Linked DNA regions of Callithrix jacchus. The protein of the gene in region 2 interacts with the protein of the main gene of each other region in a biochemical or structural test. Links are inferred from orthologs where the notes say so. Each region holds a gene or a part of one and is shown on either strand. Other genes may lie near its edges.

The links.
Region 1: the proteins of E2F1 (region 2) and PHB1 form a complex in vitro, tested with the Homo sapiens proteins (2 studies listed by BioGRID). The link is inferred for Callithrix jacchus from reciprocal best matches to the Homo sapiens genes E2F1 and PHB1.
Region 3: the proteins of E2F1 (region 2) and PURA form a complex in vitro, tested with the Homo sapiens proteins (2 studies listed by BioGRID). The link is inferred for Callithrix jacchus from reciprocal best matches to the Homo sapiens genes E2F1 and PURA.

Annotation. Positions count from the first base shown.
Region 1 is NC_133506.1:116,900,901-116,906,489, reverse strand, and holds the end of PHB1 (prohibitin 1), read right to left. Parts: intron 4,628-5,589; coding exon 4,532-4,627; intron 2,710-4,531; coding exon 2,497-2,709; 3' UTR 1,559-2,496; downstream 1-1,558.
Region 2 is NC_133506.1:5,618,675-5,625,395, reverse strand, and holds the end of E2F1 (transcription factor E2F1), read right to left. Parts: intron 5,242-6,721; coding exon 5,151-5,241; intron 4,801-5,150; coding exon 4,581-4,800; intron 3,146-4,580; coding exon 2,993-3,145; intron 2,303-2,992; coding exon 2,188-2,302; intron 2,093-2,187; coding exon 1,861-2,092; intron 1,736-1,860; coding exon 1,488-1,735; 3' UTR 433-1,487; downstream 1-432. UniProt on the Homo sapiens protein: Transcription activator that binds DNA cooperatively with DP proteins through the E2 recognition site, 5'-TTTC[CG]CGC-3' found in the promoter region of a number of genes whose products are involved in cell cycle regulation or in DNA replication.
Region 3 is NC_133503.1:38,473,647-38,480,892, reverse strand, and holds the start of PURA (transcriptional activator protein Pur-alpha), read right to left. Parts: upstream 4,402-7,246; 5' UTR 4,093-4,401; exon of another isoform or gene 3,978-4,092; intron 1-3,977. UniProt on the Homo sapiens protein: This is a probable transcription activator that specifically binds the purine-rich single strand of the PUR element located upstream of the MYC gene. May play a role in the initiation of DNA replication and in recombination.

The DNA.
Region 1 (5,589 bases), about 110 Mb from region 2:
TCATGGGAGGGAGGTCTGAGGTTCAGCGAAGGGTCAGGAGTCCATCACACACTGTTGTCTGCTCCTGGGATGGCTGTTGGGAGGCCCTGGAGGCATGTGTGCCGGGCTGCAGGGATTGGGAGAACTCAATCCCTGGCTCCACCCCCAAATCTGTGCATCGGGTCTCCCTTTCCCCAGCTAACAGGTGGTGGCCTGATCACTCTGGGGAAGGAAATTCAGAATCCAGGTCAGAGACCAGCCTGTGGAGTCTTAAAGACCCCTCTCTGTGGCCAGGTGGTGAGCTCGGGGATAAATGAAGAGCAGAGGTTAAAGCACAGTCAGTGCTGTGTGCTCACTGCACACTGTTTTCACTTTGTTCTAAAAGGATTTGGGGTGGGTGATTGGCACAGCTCATTTCTCAATCTGAGGTCCGCTTTCCCTCCTCACCATCCAAATGCACAAACTCAGCTCCCCGCAAATGCCAAGGCATTTCCAATTTCCCTCTCAGTCAGAGCAAAGCAGAATAAGCAGTATAAACCCACTGGCTGGGTGCGGTGGCTCGCTAATCCCAGCACTTTAGGAGGTCAAGGCAAGTGGATTGCTTGAGCCCAGGAGTTCAAAATCAGCCTGGGAAACATGGTGAAACCTGGTCTCTATAAAAAATACAAAAATTAGGCCGGGCGCGGTGGCTCACGCCTGTAATCTGAGCACTTTGGGAGGCCAAGGCGGGTGGATCACAAGGTCAAGGGATCGAGACCATCCTGGTCAACATGGTGAAACCCCGTCTCTACTAAAAATACAAAAAATTAGCTGGGCATGGTGGCACATGCCTGTAATCCCAGCTACTCAGGAGGCTGAGGCAGGAGAATTGCCTGAACCCAGGAGGCGGAGATTGCAGTGAGCCGAGATCACGCCATTGCACTCCAGCCTGGGTAACAAGAGTGAAACTCCGTCTCAAAAAAAAAAAACCAAAAATTAGCCGGCTATAGTGGCACCTGCCTGTAGTCCCGAATACTTAGGGAGCTCAGGCAGGAGGATCACTGGAGCCCAGGAAGTCATTGTTGCAGTGAGCTACATTCACACCACTGCACTCCAGCCTGGGCAGCAAAGTGGGACCCTGTCTCAGAAAAAAAAAAAAATCCACAAAACCACCACCACCACAAAAAACCCACTGCAGAGCGCCCCAAGCCATCTAACTGAGGGCTACTCTACTGGACCTGTAATTTACGACAACCATTTACTTCCCTCGCATTGGGGGAAGGTGTCACTGGCAGTCGGCGGGAAGGCCCGTAACTCTCCATAAGTAGCGGCACCAAAACACAGAACAGTGAACTGCCCTCCACGTACCCTCACCACCTGCAAGCCCACCCATGACAAACCTCACCGGCTACCACGGAGGTTCCCTTCGGGTTGGGGATGGATCTGGAACACAGCACAAAGTGTTTTCTGAAAACAAAGCATTTTCTGCCTTACTGGAGATTCTGTCTCAGCTGGCAATGTGAACATGTGCACACGAAAACTGCTAGAATGCTCTGTTCTGATCCCACGGCTCCCACAAACAAAAAAACCAACCCACGGCTGAGCCAGAAGGTCTGGGTGTCATTTATTGACAGCAGTTTACACACATTTGTTTCCTTCCCAGCACAGGCACAGAGCCCTTGAGAAGGGCAGTCTCTGAATGGGGGAGCCAGGAACGCAGTCGGACATGTCTTTGGCAGGCATGTTCAGCCCCAACAGGATGCAATCCTTCAAGTTGGAATTCCACTGGGTATTTGAGAGGGACCAAGGTAGGGGGTAGGGAGGAAGTCTTCGACAGGACTCATCTCGGTCCAGGCCTCTTCTCTCACTATCCAAGTCCATCCAAGTTATAGGACCCTAGGGGGCAACAATCAGGCCCACCCACCTCAAGAGGGGCAGATTCTTCAATCTGTGCCCAGTTCACACACACCTGCTTCCGCTGGTCACATAGTTAAAGAGAATCAGCCTTACGGTAAGAGACAGATGGCTTCCTCTCTGCCCCTCCCCAGCACCTCTCTTCAGCGGCATCTGCGCAGGAACTGCTGGGAAGATGGAGGCCTGCCTTCTCAGTTCAGCCACGTGCCCTCATTCGCAAATCTTGCAGCATCAGTGACAGGATGGAGGCCACCTGTGGACCCCGGCAGACACCTGTGCTCCCCAGTCCATCACGCACTGCCCTACCTGTGTGCTGTCAAATGCTGGTGCCCAGGCCAGAGCTCCAGCAGGCCCCGAATTGGGACCTAAAGCCAGTTTGCATAGGCACTTGGCAATTTTTGGTAGGGAGGTGGATAAAAAAGTAGATGGACGTGAGAAGAAGGAAAGTGTTTCATCTGATAGACTAATTAGAGATCTGAAGTGATTTTACCTTTATTTCCTTCACTTTAAGCCAATCATGAAATTTCACAGTGATTTCTGGGGTGGGGGCAGAAGGAAGGCGGTGTCAAAAATCACTGGGGCTGTGGCCCAGTCGGCCCATGGAGGTGCAGGAAGGGTGGGCCCTCACTGGGGCAGCTGGAGGAGCACGGACTGCCCCGCCGGCAGGTAGGTGATGTTCCGAGAGCGTGACAGCTGGTACGCGATGTCCTCCGCAGCTTCCAGCTTGCGCAGCTCAATCAGGCCGTCCCCTGCGGTGGCCAGTGAGTTGGCAATCAACTCAGCTGCCTTGGAGTCGCCCTCAGCAGAGATGATGGCCGCCTTTTTCTGCTGCTCAGCCTAAAAGAATGGAGATGGAGAGAGACTAAGATCAACCCTCAGGAAATTGCATTATCAGGCTACCACCCAAAAAGGACATTCACCAGAAAGCCGCCTTCCCAGGCTCCTGAAGGAACTAGGGGAGTTTACTTCCTCCTGATGGCGGGCGGGTGAGCACACTGCCCACCCAGTCCTCCTCTTTCCTTTCATGTTTACTCAACACAGAAGGGGAGGGTTACATTTCTGTTGGCTGCATGAATATTTATTTATTCATTTATTTCTTTTGAGACAGTCTTGCTGTTGCCCAGGCTGGAGTGCAATGGCGCAATCTCGGCTCACCGCAACCTCCACCTCCTGGGTTCAAGCCATTCTCCTGCCTCAGCTTCTGGAATAGCTGAGATTACAGGCGCACACCACCATGCCCGGCTAATTTTTGTATTTTTAATAGACGGGGTTTCACCATGTTGGCCAGGATGGTCTTGATCTCTTGACCTTGTGATCTGCCCGCCTTGGCCTCCCAAAGTGCTGGGATTACAGATGTGAGCCACCATGCCCTGCATGAATATTTGCCTTATTTCAAAGTCCTCATTAATATTAATTGTAATCTAGTTTAACCACCCTACTCTGGGCCAGGAGGATCCAAGAACGAAGAAAAAGAAAGGTGGAATCAATTCTCAAGGCTCATCTTTCCCTCAAGTCCCAAGTCTAAAGGGCTTCATCAAGGCCAGGACTGGGCCAGGTGTGGTGACTCATGCCTGTAATCCCGGCACTTTGAGAGGCAGAGGCAAGAGAATCACTTGAGCCCAGGAGGTCAAGGCTGAAGTGAGCTGTGATTATGCCATTGCACTCTAGCCTGGGCCACAGAGGGAGATGCTGTCTCAGCCCAACCAACCAACTTCAGGATGGTGAAGAAAGAGCAGCACACACTAGTGACTTCCTAGAGCTGCTTGTGAGATAGGCTGGCTCCTGCCCAGAACCCAGGCATTCAGAGTGAGATCTCCTAGACTTGCCCTATCAATATCACTAGGAAGACAGCTCTCTGCAATGCAGGGCCTTCAGGAGTGTGAGGAGAAGACAGTATTGAGTCTCTCTGAAATTTCGTATGATTTTGAAATGGCTGGGCCCCACGTCTGTTTGCTCAGCACATTTACTGCATACCTATCGCCAAGCACTGTGCTAGACTTACTAAAATCTCTGAAGTTATAGGAGACACAAAGCGACACAAGTCCCTGCCCACACAGAGTTTTCATTCTCCAAAATTAAATCTATCCCTCTTTTCCCCTTTTATTTCTTGCTGAACCCATCTCCCCCCGAATGAGGGACACTGGTGGTGGGAAGAGGGAGAACAAGAAATAAACATGTCTTTGCAAATACCAGAGAGACCAGGCTGCTAAGCAAATACACTGTGTCCCATCACAATCTTTGACACATCTGGATGGATTTAGCACCAGAAAAAAAATCTAGTGACGAAAGCACATCTGGTGCAACGTTTGATCTTTTTTGCTGTCAGCTTTCACTATGTAACTACGGTTAAAAATGACTTCTCAGTGAAGCTGAAAATACTCCAGGAGAAACATTTTTATTTGTAAGAGAGTGTTTTTGATCTCAGAGAAGTGGAAGAAGAATTATCTTTCAGTGATTTAGGAACAGAACTCCACATATCCTGGACTAGCCCCTGAAGACTCTGGAACCAATTGCAAAAGTACAATCCCTTCAAGCCCCTTCCGATGATCCCGGAAGAAGGGATGACAGATGATGAATTTCCAGGCCACCCAGCAGATGGGGAAGCTGAGTGCAGGAGAAAGGGGAAGGAGAGGCTCCTGCCATCTGGTTGAATGCTCACCTTTTCCACCACAAATCTGGCTCTCTCTGCTTCCTGCTGAGCCACCTGTTTGGCTTCCACTGCTTCTGTGAACTCCTTCCCGAAGGTCAGATGTGTCTAAGGGGAGAGAGGAGCACAAGATGAGGCAGTGTGATTGCTTAGACAGCGCTGCTGGGAGGCCTCTACAGCCGCTGGAACGAAGAGGCCGGCAATGGCTCTAGCAGCTGGAGGCATCCGTGAGGCCAGAATGCTCTTCCACCTCCGTATCTGCATCCAAACTGAGTTTACACCCAGAGTCTCTGGCTGCTTAAACCGCTCCTGTACCTTACTCCGTCTCGCACAGTACAGCGACCTCATATCGCAAATGGCAACTGGGGCTTCTGATGGGGCCCACAGGCACCAGAAGGTATCCACTCCAACGACCACCTCCCCAGAGGAGAACTGTGGGTTCTAAGAACCCCACCACTGACTAGAGCTCTTCCAAGGGCCTTTGATGCCTGGTTCAAAGCCCAAGGAAGGCCAGATGGAAAACGGGGCCCCTGAAAGTGAGGGAGGCAGCGAGTTTCCAGGGATCCAAGAGCCTGATGCTCTCTGCTTATGGGTTAACCAGTCCACTTCTTCCCATAGCAGCTCCACCGCTGAACAGGAAGAGGACGAGGGACGGTGGAACACAAATCGTGGTATTCCCAATGTGTGAGTGGTTCTGTTAAAGGGTTTAAAGGAAAGAGAAAGCAGGTAAAGTCATTGGTCGGGGTGAGGGTTTAGAAGTCCGATGATCCCTAGACCTTTCCTAATCACGTCAGGTCTGATGGGACTGTCTCTAGATAGCACAAGCAATGGGAACAGACCCCAGAATTCCTAACGCCCAGCCTAGAGCAATTTACTTATTCATCCTAATTTTTATGAAAAAGAATAAGGAGAAGGAGAGGCTTGGTTTCACCATCAACTTCTAGTTGTTTCATTTCCTCCACTCTCCCAACCTCTGCTTTTTTGAAAAGCAGCCCCAAAACTTCTCCTAAAGAGCAAATCCTGGTCTCACCATCTTCCAGGATTTTTAACCCCCTAACTCTAACTGCAGC
Region 2 (6,721 bases):
TTTTTCATTTGTGCAAATCTCCTTTGGACCCTGAGAGCACCATGAAGGGAGGTAACACCTGTGTCCCCAGAAATTTTAAATACCTGACACAAAACCAGTCCATGGTATTTGCTGCATGTTTACTAAGGCCCAGAAGCGTCTGGAAGGAAGATAGCAAACTGAGCACAGTGGCCTCTAGGGCTGGGGAGAAGAGGTCACTCATTACTCTGCACTTTGGGCAGCACTGACTAGCATTCTTGGCTTTCTACAGCAAAAACCTTTACTGGATCGGCTTTTCAGTTAGGACCAAAATAGCGATGAAGCTGACCTTTCTTAGAATTATGAGGCTCAAATCAAATCCGGGAGAAGGGAAGTGGAGAACGCGCATTTCCCCAGCAACTTTGGCCTTTCCCGCCCCGAACTGTTCCCAACAGAGTCCCAAAACCCAGCCCAAACATCATCAAAATATTTATTAAAACCAAAGCAGGAGGGAACAGCTGTTAGGAAGCAAATCAAAGTGCAGATTGGAGGGTGGGGTAGAGCAGTGGGGAGGCAGGCGCTTCAGACACCACAGGAGGGACCACAGGTCTGGGCGGGGAGGGGGGGGAGGCCGTCACCACCCCACCTGCCCACTACATCAGTGAAGGTCCCCCACTCACCTCTCCCATCTTAAATCCATCCTGGGGGGCAGCTGGGGCCCCGAACTGGCCCCCTGGAGAGGGCCTGCCCCACCATCCGTCTACCCATGGCTGTCAGTCAGTCTGTCTCCCTCCCTCACTTTCCCAATAAATAAATCACCCAGGCCTCAGCTCCTTCAGTGTGGGGCAGAACAGCTCAGGGACCCCTGCCCTTGCTCAAGGGTAGAGGAAGTCGGGGTATCAACCCCACACCCCTCCTCCCCTATGCTGATTCCCCAGGCTCGCCAAAGAGGCCTCGATAAATAAATAACGCTCCATTAAAGCTTCAATCAGAAAAAACCTTTAAGACAGAAGTGCTCTCGCCGTCCTACAAGCCCAGCCAGCCAAAGCCTCCCCACCTGGCCTGGTCAGAGCGCCGGATTCTCGGAGCAGGCACTATGCTGGGCCTTGTGGGACCCCCAGAGCAAAAGGGCCGAAAGTGCAGTTAGAGCCCCCCACGCGCACACATGGACTCATGCACACACATGTGGACACACTGGGGCGTGTCTGCAGTGCACACACAGAGGTGTATATTCACCTTCATTCCCCGGTACATGCACACACACATGCTCACACACCACATTCACCCCAGGTACACACGTGTGGGTGTAGGCTGCATGCACATACACACCACAAACAGACTCCTTCCCTTCCTGGCTTGCTCAGCCTCCTAGCGGTAGCCAGACCCCAGAGCTAGAAGCTACTGGAGACAGGAGAGAGGGGTATAAATTAAATGTTTCCGATCAGGCTGGGAGGATGGCCAGGGACAGGAGGCTCCAGGGCTGCAGAGACAGTGAGCATCTCTGGAAACGCTGGTCCCTCCAAGCCCCATCAGAAATCGAGGGGGGTGAAGTCCCCAAAGTCACAGTCGAAGAGGTCTCTGATGCCCTCGCCCTCCTCGAGGCCGAAGTGGTAGTCGAGGCCCTCATGGGGTGGGGAAAGGCTGATGAACTCCTCAGGGAGGAGGCCGGAGAAGTCCTCCCGCACATGCTCCAGGAGCGAGTCGGCTGCCACCAGCGGGGACAGGCGGTCCTCGTCCATGGGAGCCCGTAGGCTGCCCATCCGGGACAACAGTGGTTCTGGGGAGACGGGGAGCATCACAGGCCGGGGATGCCCCAGCAGGGAGGAAGACAGGGGCTGTCGTGCCTGCCCGCCCCCCAGAAGAGTGGCCCTTTCCCACCCCACCCACCTACCCATCACCCACCTTGCTCCAGGCTGAGCAGAGACTGGCTGGGATCTGTGGCGAAGGATGAGTGGGGAGATGATGATGGTGGCGGCACTATGGTGGCAGAGTCAGAGGCCCTGTTCTCCTCCACAGAAGCAGCCTCCCGGGACGGGGACGGGGTCTTCCCAGGGCTGATCCCACCCACAGTCTCCTCAGGGCACAGGAAAACATCGATGGGGCCTTGTTTGCTCTTAAGAGAGATCTGAAATGTCTGGGTGGAAGCAGCAGGCAGGGTAAACTGAGGCCCAGGTGACCCCAAGCCCAGCCCAGCCCAGCCCAGTTGGGCCTAGAGTTTCCAGATCTCACCTCCGAAGAGTCCACAGCTTGGAGCTGGGTCTCAGGAGGAGCCTTGATCACCATAACCATCTGCTCTGCAGGGTCTGCAATGCTACGAAGATCCTGGCACGTCACATAGGCCAGGGTTGGCAGAGTCAAGGACCACAGGAACTTTGACTTCTGAGGGTCACTCACTCCAGCAACTCACAAAGGACCTTCACAAGGCAGGGCTCACACCTCCCTAGTCACTCCTGTCTTCTCAACCCCCCCATCTGCTCAAAAGCCACCTCATTCCCAAGTTTCAAGTTCCACATCTGTACAATGGAACTATTCTACCAACTGAATCCCAAAGTAATGATGATGGCTACCAGGAACAATTCCATGTAAAATGCTCAACACAACTGCAGGCCTGCTGCTGGGAACTTATTATTTAGTTTTTAGAAGCAGGTTCTCACTATGTCACCCAGGCTGGAGTGCTGTAGCTCAACCAGAGCTCACTGCAGCCTCAAACTCCTGGGCTCAAGTGATCCTCCCACCTCAGCCTCCTGAAGCACTAGGATTACAGGCAGGAGCCACCCCAGCCACTTTTCTGCTTTAATCTGTACAATTTCAGAATTGGATATTATTATCCCCCTTTTATAGCTAAAACTGAGGCCCAGAGAGGTTAAGCAATTTATCCAGTGTCACACAATGAGAAAATGCTGAGCCAGAACTTGCAACCAAAACCAGCATCCTCTCCGGAATCCAGGGCCCAGGGTAGCCTCTCTAGTCCCACTTGGGTGGGACCCCTGCGCACTAAGCCTGCCTTCCACACCCCCGGCCAGTCCAAGGATATCGCTGGCTGTCAGTGTCCTCGGAGAGCAGGCGCAGCTGCGTAGTACAGATATTCATCAGGTGGTCCAGCTGCTGCTCACTCTCCTGCAGCTGCCGGAGGTCCTGGGTCAGCCCCTCAAGCCGCCCACCAACACCCACTGTGGTGTGGCTGCCCCTGTGGGGAGGCACCAGGGAGGGTAGGGTTAGCATCGTCTGGCCCCTCTGGCGCTCAGGACCCCATCTGCTGCTGCCTCTGTTCTGCGAGGCCCAGGCAAGCCCTTGCTTCTCTCTGGGTCTGGCTCCTCAGCTGGGATCCAAATCAGTGTGTCATGGGCTTGAAGTCTGGCCCGAATATTTATAAACACCTACATGTCCCTCAACCAGGGCAGGATAAATAAATGATGGCATCGACATGTCATGAAACATTACAGTTGTATAAAAGGATGAGCATGCTCTAGACACATACATACAAGCATTTCCAAGTCATGCTGTCAAATTAAAAAAAAAAAAAAAATGGGCTGGGCTTGGTGGCTCACACATAATCCCAGCACTTTGGGAAGCTGAGGTCAGAGGATGTACTGCTTGAGCCTCAGGAGTTTAAACCAGCCTGGGCAATACTGTGAGACCCCACCTCTACACAAAATTAAAGAAATTAGCCAGGCATGGTGGCATGTACTTGTAGTCCTAGCTACAGGTACAAGGATTGAGCCCAGGAGGTTGAGGCTGCAGTGAGCTCTACTTGTGCCTCCAGACTCCAGTCTGGGTGACAGAGCAATACCCTGTCTCAAACTGCCCCCCACCCCCTCAAAAAAACATAAAAGATGTAGAATGGAACAATCTACCAAAAAATGAAAAGGCAGGTGTATCAAAGAGAGGGTAGCAGGATGACTAGGGCAAAGGCAAGAAGGGGAAAATAAAACAAGTACAAAAAGAAAACATCCGTGCCAGACAAATCTTACCGAGGGCATAAGACACCAGAAGAGTGGTCACCTGGTGGTGTGAGGGGTTGGCAGTGACTGGAAAGGGGCACAAGAGAACCTTCTGGGGTGTTGGAAATGCTTCTATCTTGATCTGAATGGTGGTAACCCAGATGAATAAATATGTAAAGCTCTGCTGGGCACAGTGGCTCACGCCTATAATCCCAGCACTCTGGGAGGCCAAGGCAGGCAGATTACCTCAGATCTGGAGTTTGAGACCAGCCTGGCCAACATGGTGAAACCCTGTCTCTACTAAAAATACAAAAATTAGCCGGGCGTAGTGGTAAGTGCCTATAACCCCAGCTACTTGGGAGGCTGAGGCAGAAGAATCACTTGAACCTGGGAAGTGGTGGTTGCAGTGAGCTGAGATGACGCCACTGCACTCCAGCCTGGGCGACAGAGTGAAACTCCATCTTAAAAAATTAAATAAATAAATAAAGCTGTAACTGAGCTGGATATGTAAGATTTGTGTGCTTTTTAGCATCTATCATCTCAGGGAAGCTACCTCTCTTCCCTGAGCCCGTTTCCCCAGCTGTAACATGTGGATGCAGACAGCCCACAGTGGGTACTGCTACAGTTCCTCCAGGCTGGCATGGGCAGGTGTGCCTGCCCTCCTGTGTGGCCGGTACCTACAGCCACTGGATGTGGTTCTTGGACTTCTTGGCAATGAGCTGGATGCCCTCGAGGACATTGGTGATGTCATAGATGCGCCGCTTCTGCACTTTGAGCACCTCGGCAGCCCAGTTCAGGTCGACAACACCGTCAGCAGAGCGGCTCAGCAGCTCCAGGAAGCGCTTGGTGGTCAGATTCAGTGAGGTCTCATAGCGTGACTTCTCCCCCGGGGATTTCACACCTGTAAGGGTGTGGTCAAGCAAGTAGGGCCCTCCAGCATCCACCCCACCTCCAGCCAGGCCTGCCTCTGTGGCAGTGCAGGACAGCAGGATGATGGGGGCCGGGGGACAGCCAGCCCCTTCCCCTTGGTGAGGTCAACCACAGCATTCTTATTCTGACTGGGGAACTCCTCAACCCTCAGGGCTGGGGTAAACCAAGCCAGGCAGCGACTCCAGCTGCCCATCAGGGTCCCCAGAGGCCTGGCTCAAGCCCAATGAACCAAGACGTTAGCCTGAAAGCATGTTTGTTTGTTCACACCCCCAACCCGGGCCTGGTCACAGGGGGCCTGCCCAGCCCAAGCTCCGTGGGTACCTTTTCCTTGATGGCGGCCTCTGCCCCGAGCTGGCCCACTGCTTTCAGCCAGGTACTGATGGTCAGTTTCCAGGTCCAGCCTCCGCTTCACCTGTAGTGAAAACAATGGGAGGATGCCCAGTAACCAGGAGTGATGCCAGAAGAGACCTGGCTGAGGGCTAGGCACCTCTGGGTTACCCCCACCTCAGTTTCTGTAGCAGGATGCCTGACTGTGTGACTGAGGGAGATCAGAGGGGACACAGCCTGAGAGTCATAGTCCTTCCACACAGGACACTCAACCGCAGAAGGCAGAAGACCTGAGCTCAAGTCCCAGCTCCATCACTACTTCTCTGGGGTCTCGTGGTGGATTTAAAACACATCTGCAAACTTTTTGATCCTTCTCCTTCAAAAGATGAAGCCTAATAATCCTCCCTGTATGAACCAGAGATGGAGTGTCACTTTTGAGACTGAGTCAGAGGAACTGGAGCTTCCTCCTTGCTCTGTATTGGGTCACTCACTCTGCCATGTCATATGGACACTCAAGTAGCCCTAATGATGGGCAAGAAACCGCAGCTCCTCCCAACAGCAACACTGAGTCATGCCTTCTGTTAGCAGCCAGGACCCAAACACTGGCTGAATCTCCAAAGAGACCCCAAGCCAGAGCATCTAGCTAAGTCTTCCCTTAATTCCTGACCCACAAAAACTATATAATAAAGTTTTTTTTGTTTTTTTTTGAGACGGAGTTTCGCTCTTGTTACCCAGGCTGGAGTGCAATGGCGCAGTCTCGGCTCACCGCAACCTCCGCCTCCTGGGTTCAGGCAATTCTCCTGCCTCAGTCTCCTGAGTAGCTGGGATTACAGGCGCATGCCACCATGCCCAGCTTATTTTTGTATTTTTAGTAGAGACGGGGTTTCACCTTGTTGACCAGGATGGTCTTGATCTCTTGACCTCATGATCCACCCGCCTCAGCCTCCCAAAGTGCTGGGATTACAGGCGTGAGCCACCGCGCCCGGCCAGGTTTTTTTTTTTAATGCCACCACTTTTTTTCTTTTTTAGACAGGGTCTCAGTTTGTTGCCTATGCTGGAGTGCAGTGGTACGATCATGACCCACTGCAGCCAAACATCCTGAGCTCAAGCAATCCTCCCATCTCAGCCTTCCAAGTAGCTGGGACCACAGGCGCACGCTACCATGACCAGCTAATGTTTGTATTTTTTGTAGAGATGGGGTCTTCCTATGTTACCCAGACTGGCCTCAAACTCCTGGGCTTGAGCAATTCTCCCACCTCAGCCTTCACCATAGCCAGTGCTAGATTACAGGCATGAGCCACTGTGCCCAGCTAAGCCACTGACTACATAAGTCCCTTGGGCAAGTCACTTTCCCTCTGGTTTTTGACTAATTTATACACATGGTGGCAGCTGGTACTCATCAGGTTCTTTGCATACATTAGTTCATTCCATGCAGTGGCCTGGCAGTATAATAATGGCCTTTTTCCAGATAAGGCAACCAAAGCCCAGGGAAGCCCAGGAAGTGGGAGAGTCAGGCTTTGTCCCTAAGATGGTTTGAGGAAGAACCCAAGCTCTAAGGACTCTGG
Region 3 (7,246 bases), on a different chromosome or scaffold from region 2:
ATTGAGCATCTCTTCCCCCAAAAGTAAGGAGACTTGCCTCCCTCACTCTTAGCCAGAGGGACAACTGGAAATATGGTTGCCCAGCTTCCTAGAAGAGAGTGGACTAACAATAAAAAAAACCAAGAGCAGCCTAGGGAATAACCCTTGCTGATTCCTGAACCCTCAAAGCCCCCTAACATATTCCTTCGCCTCCTGAACAAACTTGCCTGCTAGGTATCCACAGCTTCCTTTTTCTCTTAGCAAGAGCCCCATTCTACTCAGCATTAGCTACTTCAGCCCTGGGCTGAAGTTTGCGACTTCCCACTGAAAAGAAACAAACAGCACCTGGCCACCAAAGAGCAAACGGGGGGCAGTCCTGTGCACCGGACCCAAAACACCCCACCTATGTCCAGTGGTCCTTGAAATGGCTCCCTGAAGTTAAGGCCCACGCCAAGAGATTAAAAACCCAGGCTTTGGGCTCCATAAAGAACTTGCCCACTTTGGGGGCAACCTTTAGTACCACGTATTATCATTTCCGTGTTGATTTTTCTACTCCCTCTCCTGTCCCAAAGTCTACTGGGAATGGGAGACAGAACTTTTGAAGCACTTTCCACTACACAGAAATAGATGTATGAAGAAGCAGTAGCTCCGCCAGGCTCAAACAGTGGCAATCAGGACCCTGGATAGACCCCAGCCCCTCCAGGAACAAAAAGGCTGAGTAGCAGGATCTCCACAGAGAATGGAGTAGGGCATTGCGCTTTGCTAGTAAACTGAGGCTAAGATCTGGTAAAATCCAATCTAGAAGGGCTGCTATTCTTCCTCTAGAGTTTACCTTGAATCAAACCAAGCCCCCGCTCCCTAATGAGAATTCAAGGCAGCAACAAAGCCAAAGAGAATACGTTGAGGGCCCCACCCACCCCCTGCCAGTTCCTGCCTTTCTTCTGTGCTGATTGCGGCCCCCCAGGACAGAAGACTAAGACTCGAAAATGCCTTCCGTCCTATCCCAACTTCCAGTCTAAATTTTCTTGCCCTCTGTCCTAGACGTCTATATATAGGGATTCCGAAGTGATCTGTTTGGAAGTACCCTGTTTTTCTGAAAAAGTGACTGCCACCAACAACTGACTTCTTAGTTCCCCAGCGCAAAGCCAATTATGAAGTTTCTAGACAGAACACAAATTGTACATCATGTGTACACTTAAACTAAGAATTTTAAGCTCAAATCAGCAAATGACTGAGACCTAGATCTCTCCACATAAATATGTACTTATTTTATGCTATTCATTATCTATGTATAAAACTTTTCCCTTATATGCCAGCTTCTCTCTTACTTTATACATGTTTCTGAAAAGCAAACAAGATTAACATGGCATTTCCAAAATAATTCAATGATAAATAGGATATTTCACATATTTTCACTATTGAAACGAGAGTTAATATCAGGATAAGCCTTTAAGTGTGGGTTTTTTCTCAGACTAAGGAGGTGAAAGGCAGCTTTCCTTGGGAGAAATGAATATAAACTTTCAGAAAAGTCTTAAAAAGTTTAAACTTTAAGTAAAACTTCACAGTTATATTTGCATTGTAACACTGAAAAGTCATTAGAAAATGAGTGGATTTTAAGACTTCTAACCATTTGTTAATTATCTAAACAATACACTAACTTGGTGAATGAAAAGTCTGTTCTAGTATCCAGCTGTTTGAATTTGTTACTGTAAAACAAATAGTTGTAAAACTAAATGTGTAATTTCATTACAATGTAGGAAAGACAAAGGGAAAACGAAATATAATATACAGCAAATTAATATGCAGCAAAAATCCATGTTAATGAAAAACTTATCAAAAGTAAACATTTCCTTTCTCCTCAAAATTTGCTTACATTTTAAAGACATAATGTCTCTGGATTTCTTGAGCTCTTTTATTATTAATACAACAGACACATTTCAAAAAGAATAGAGACTGCTTTATTTTTAATCCCACTATCTCTGGGTATTTAACAAACTCTTACCAACAAAAAACTGTGCGCAAAGAAATAGACATTAGGCAGAACAAAAAGGGAAAAAAGCTTTAATTTTCTTCAGCCTAAACTACAGGTGATTCTGAAATAATCTAATTCAGCTTTGGTTTTATAAAGTAAAAATCAACACACATTTATAAAATAGGCTTAGAAAGAGGTTGTCTCCCTCTGGGTAGTAACCCTTTTTATTATAGAGTTCCTAATAGAAACAATATGTTGATTAATATTTTACAAAATCACAAATTTCCAAAATAAAGAACATTAGCGCTTGTGTTTTCAAGTTCTTAGGTTAAGTACCAGTCTTAAACCAGACAACTATCTTCAATACCCAACTCATTAAAACTAACTGGAATGTTGTACTGCAAACGTTCAAAGTGGAGGAATGAGCCATGTCTTCTCACGAGTATCTACCAAAAAAGAGGAAACTCCCAAATCTTAACATTTAACAACAACAACGACTAATAGTAACAGCATTTCCCGGATCGTTCTTTAAAAGCGTATCCCTTTTCTTTAGCTCACTTAATCTTGAAAATCATGCCTCTTCAATGATATTTTAATGTTTAGGATTAAAGATATGAAGTAAACATTTAAAATATGAAGAGAACAATCCACATGACAAAAATTCTTGCATTTCCAAAATATTTTCATTTTAAGCATTTGCAGAAGAGTTAAATAAATGTAGCAGGCATTCTAAATTCGATAAAAGAGTCAGAGAACCCGACATTTTATGTACCCCAAAGGTCCAAACAGAACCGATGTAAATGTCAATAGCTCTCTCCCTTCCGGTTGATACTTAAATGATTTTACTAGTACTCAAAGCAATGAAATCAGCAACTCTCTCCACACTCTAGTCAACATTCCTATTTTCAAAGCCGCAATTCGCAAACGTCAGTTGGGCGGGGGCGGTGGGGGATCTTGAAGTAATCCAAAAATTTCCTTTCCCCTTTGACAGTCCACCAAAAGATGTCAAACCAAATCCAGCCTATTGTAAAGCTCTGGGACCTCCCTTCCAAGGACACCGAACACAAGCATAGACACCGTTGCGAAAAGCTGTCCAAAAGCGCCTGGTCGGACAGAAACGTAAGGAGCCCAGACCAAAACGAATTAGAACCCTCAACAGAGGGTCCCGCAGACACCGCGGAAAAGAACGTGGCATTTATTCCAGGGTAGACAGCTACGAACCGGAGTTGCCCCAGCCAGTCTCTTGGGCCTCTCCAACCCGAGTTCAGGTTTATGGCAGATATATTGGTGGGTGCCTTCCCCTACATACATCACAGCCCGCCTCCGGGGTCCACTGCCGCTCACAGAGAAGACCCCTCAGCTTCACATCCGTTCCTCTTGCCCTCGGACAAAGGCAGAGGAGCTGTGGAGCTGACCCAGCGCTGTGGGGCAGTAAAAATGCCTTGTTCGGGTCACCCATCTTTGGGCCTGGCTTCATCTGCGATGTCAGCAGCAAAGGTTTTTTTCTGGTTTTGTTTTGTTTTTACAGCGCATCCTGGGCGGGTGTATACATTTGGTGGTGGTGGGATGGGGGGAGCTGAACAGAGGAGGGGTTGGCAGTAAAGCCTGGGTTATAGAACTCTCCCTCCTCTCCCTCCTCCCAGGGTTGCCGTGCAGGGAGTGTCAGCCACGTCTAGCGCACAGTCCCAGGCCCCAGGGAGAAGGCGGCCAGGGGAAATGGGGCTCAGGGATTGCTAAGCAAACGCATCATTGGTGGTCTCCAGCGCCTGCGGAGGTAGGATTGTCTCTTTTCTTAAGGAGCGTGTTATTTTGTTCTCTTTTGGAAGTAGGAGGGGGTTCATTCGTTTCTCGCTGCGGGGGGTGGGGGAGAACGTTGCTGCACCGCCTGGATCTCCGAGAGGGAGGGTGCGGGGATGTCTGCAATGGTACTATAATTATTTCTGGGCTGAGAGGGCAAGTAGAGGGACGGGGCGGGCGGCACCTCGAGCTGTGGCAGTGGCAGCAGGGAAGGTCGCGAGGGGCTTACCCGGGCGGGCGCTGTCCTGCCGCAGGTGAGGGAGGGCGCAGGCTGGCGGGAGGGAGGACGCGCGCGAGGCCGGCGCGAGGAAGGGGGGAGGGGAGGAGGGCGCGCGCGCGCACACCTGTCCTGGACAGCGGCGCTAGCCGAGCTGCGCCTCACTTGGGCTCTGCGGGCTGAGGAGGGAAGAGGGCGGGCTGGCAGGCGGGGGCGGGACGCCGAGGGGAGGAGGAGGAGGCGGCTCTGTTGGCAGGCTCGGCTCTCGCTCGCTCTCCCTCCCGCGGGCAAGTCCGGCTCACACCCTGCTTCTCCCGCTCACTCACAGCCCCCTTGGCTCTCCCTCCTCCTCCTCCTTCCCCTGCGGGATCCGCTCACCGCCGCCGCCGCCGCCGCAGACGGCAAGTCGTGGCAGCCAGACGTCGGCGCGTAACCCGGCGCTCCGTGCGTGACTCCGGGCGACGTCAGCGCGCGCACCGCGTTCCCCACCCCTCCTCCCCACTCCGCGGCTCGCGCCCTTCGCTCTCGCGTCCCATCGTTTTAGCTGCCGCCGCGGCGGCCGCTGAGCGCGCTCTTCCCGCCCCCTTCTCGCGCGTGAGCGCGCCCTCTCGACTGTTGGCGCGTAGACATTCCGCGGCACAGGCCTTGGGGCGCGTCTGAGGAGGGGGCTGTCTGTGGCCTCTCCGCCCACACTTCCTCCACCCACCGTCCGTAACGCCCACAGAAGACTTATTCCTCGTTGGGCTTCTGAAGGCCGAAGCCAGGCTCAGGCGGGGATAGAACCCTGAAGGGCCTGCGCCAGCTCCAACTTAGGTCCCTGTGCGTCGTTGCGGCTGCCGCTGCCACCGGATCATGCCGCACCCCCGCCCCAACTCCGCCCGGGTCTCTGAGGAGGCAATAGGCCTTTCATCTCCCGGGAAGTCTCACCTTGGCCTTCAGACACCCGCCGAGAGGGGTTGGAAGGACAGAATTAGCATGAAGAAGAGAGGCTAGACCACTTTTCAGGCTCTGGCCCCAGGAATCCTTGACAGGAAGCGTGGGGTTGCTGCCCAGCCTCCCACGCAGTATAATATATTGAAGCCGGGCCCCTTTGAGGGAATGCGACTTCCTTGAGCCGAGGGGGAAAGAGTAAAAGCTAATTTTCATAAATTGCTATGCAAGGACAAAATGTAGAATTATAAGATGTGTTTCAGACAGTCTTAAAGATTTATCATCTTTAAGACAGTTTTCTTGAAATCGTATCAAGTTTGACAAGATTTTAGTGCACGGTAACGGTTTTCCTCGCCGCCTATGCTGTCACGTTTCCATCCTGCAACACTGAGTACATAGATGGAACGTGGGTCAGCTAATAACTGCTGCAAAATAAATAGGAACTGCCTTTATAATCTTTATCATTATTTAAATAGACCTCCGGGAAGTCAAACTGTGATTTAGGAACACTTATTCATTGCCTCAACCTATTTAACTTAGTGTATTTTGTTTTAAAGTTACTTTGCAAATACACCACAAAATGCCCCTTTATTAGGCAATAGTGGACTTTTAAACTTACTTCCTAGAGGATCTTTTCCAAGAAGCATATCTAATTGAGCCTGCGAGGCAAGTGGGACTAAGGTGTAATTAATCCCATTTTACAGATGAAAACTGAGTTATCGAAATGTAAGTCAGTTGTTCAGTGTTGCAAGGAGTCAGTCACTGATAGAGGGAAAAGTCTAAGATCTATTATTGCCTGCTTTATCCACTAAACCAGAAATCTCTCAGTTGTTTACTTCCAAGTATCTTTTGCTCCCGGCCCTTATGTATTGTAGGCAGTACCTGATGGCTGAGAAGAATTTCAGAGGACTAGAAAAGTTTGAGTCTGAAATTTTCTGCCACAGAGAATTACAGCTCAGCAATAAGTTATTGCGAAACAGTTCAACTTGCATTAACAACAGCAACAACAAGCTTATTCCTAGCTGGAGGTGAGAAAAAGAGACTGGCTTAAGGGTGATAGGTTATTTCCTTTGAATTGCTTTTTGGTTCACCTCATCTTTAGGTGGCAGCACTACTATATAAATATTCTTCAAAAAGTACAGTTTTCTGCAACTTATCCTAAAGGATAGTCTGTCCTAAGTGTTTCCAACTGTATTGTGGAGATTAAAATCTGGTGATTTTTTTTCTTCTTATTTTTGAGATGGAGTTTCGCCCTTGTTGCGCAGACTGGAGTGCAATGGCGCGTACTCACTGCAACCTCCGCCTCCTGGGTTCAAGCGATTCTCCTGCCTCAGCCTCCCGAGTAGCTGGGATTAATCGGCATGCGCCACCACGCCCGGCTAGAAGCTGGTGACTTTATGATATAAAATCAGAGCTGAGAATTACAAAAAGGCACTTCTAGAGGAGGAGAAACAGAAAATCTATCAAAGACATTACTAAAATACATGGAGCTATGGAGGGAAAACATTGGAAAGTTTCAAGAAAAAAAGCTTTCTAGGTGTATGAGAAGCAAGTAACATCTTAAAATCTGGTCTTTCATTGAAACTTAGGACAAGATAACCTTCCAAAGCAAACCATCCTTTCTCAGTACTGCATATTTATCAAGCATTTACAAGTTTGAATTTGCGAGTTATATAGTTGCCTTTACTCAACTGTAATTTTAAAATTCAGATGCAGTTTTTCCTAATTAACAGCATCAAGCTTATGAAGATTCCAAACAGGACTTTATTGTTGACCCTTGTTGAAGAGAACTCCACTTGGCTTCTTTCCTGGCTTTCCTAAATTGTTCACATGCAAGATAAACTTCCATCACTCAGACTTACAGAAGTGAGAAGGCAAGCTGAACCAAATGTAAAATGATAGCAATTTACAGGTAATTCTATATCTTAATTTCTCCCACATTTTTATGGTAAGAAATTGTGATATATGGGGGTTATTTGGATCAAGTGTTTTCTAAGTAGAACTTTGTCATAATTAATTTTATTTATAGTAGTTCTCCCTGTGTCCCTTTATCCAAGCAACTCAATACAATTGAATTTATATGCATTTCAAAGTAGACTCCGTTTGATTTACTGTGGAAATGCAACCACCAAGTAATATAGAGGTATGAAAATCAGGAGTGAGAAATAAAAGTACTTCTGGATAGAGGATGAAATGTTAATAGCCTTTCTTCATGGCAGCTTCCATCTTTCTCAAGTCAAACTTGGAGGAGGAGTCTCAAGCAAATTGGTAGTACTCAAACTGCAGTATTATGTTAAGAATTTTAAGCTCTCTGGTGCCAACAAATCGTGCAGCCTGAGGGCCTTTGCTCC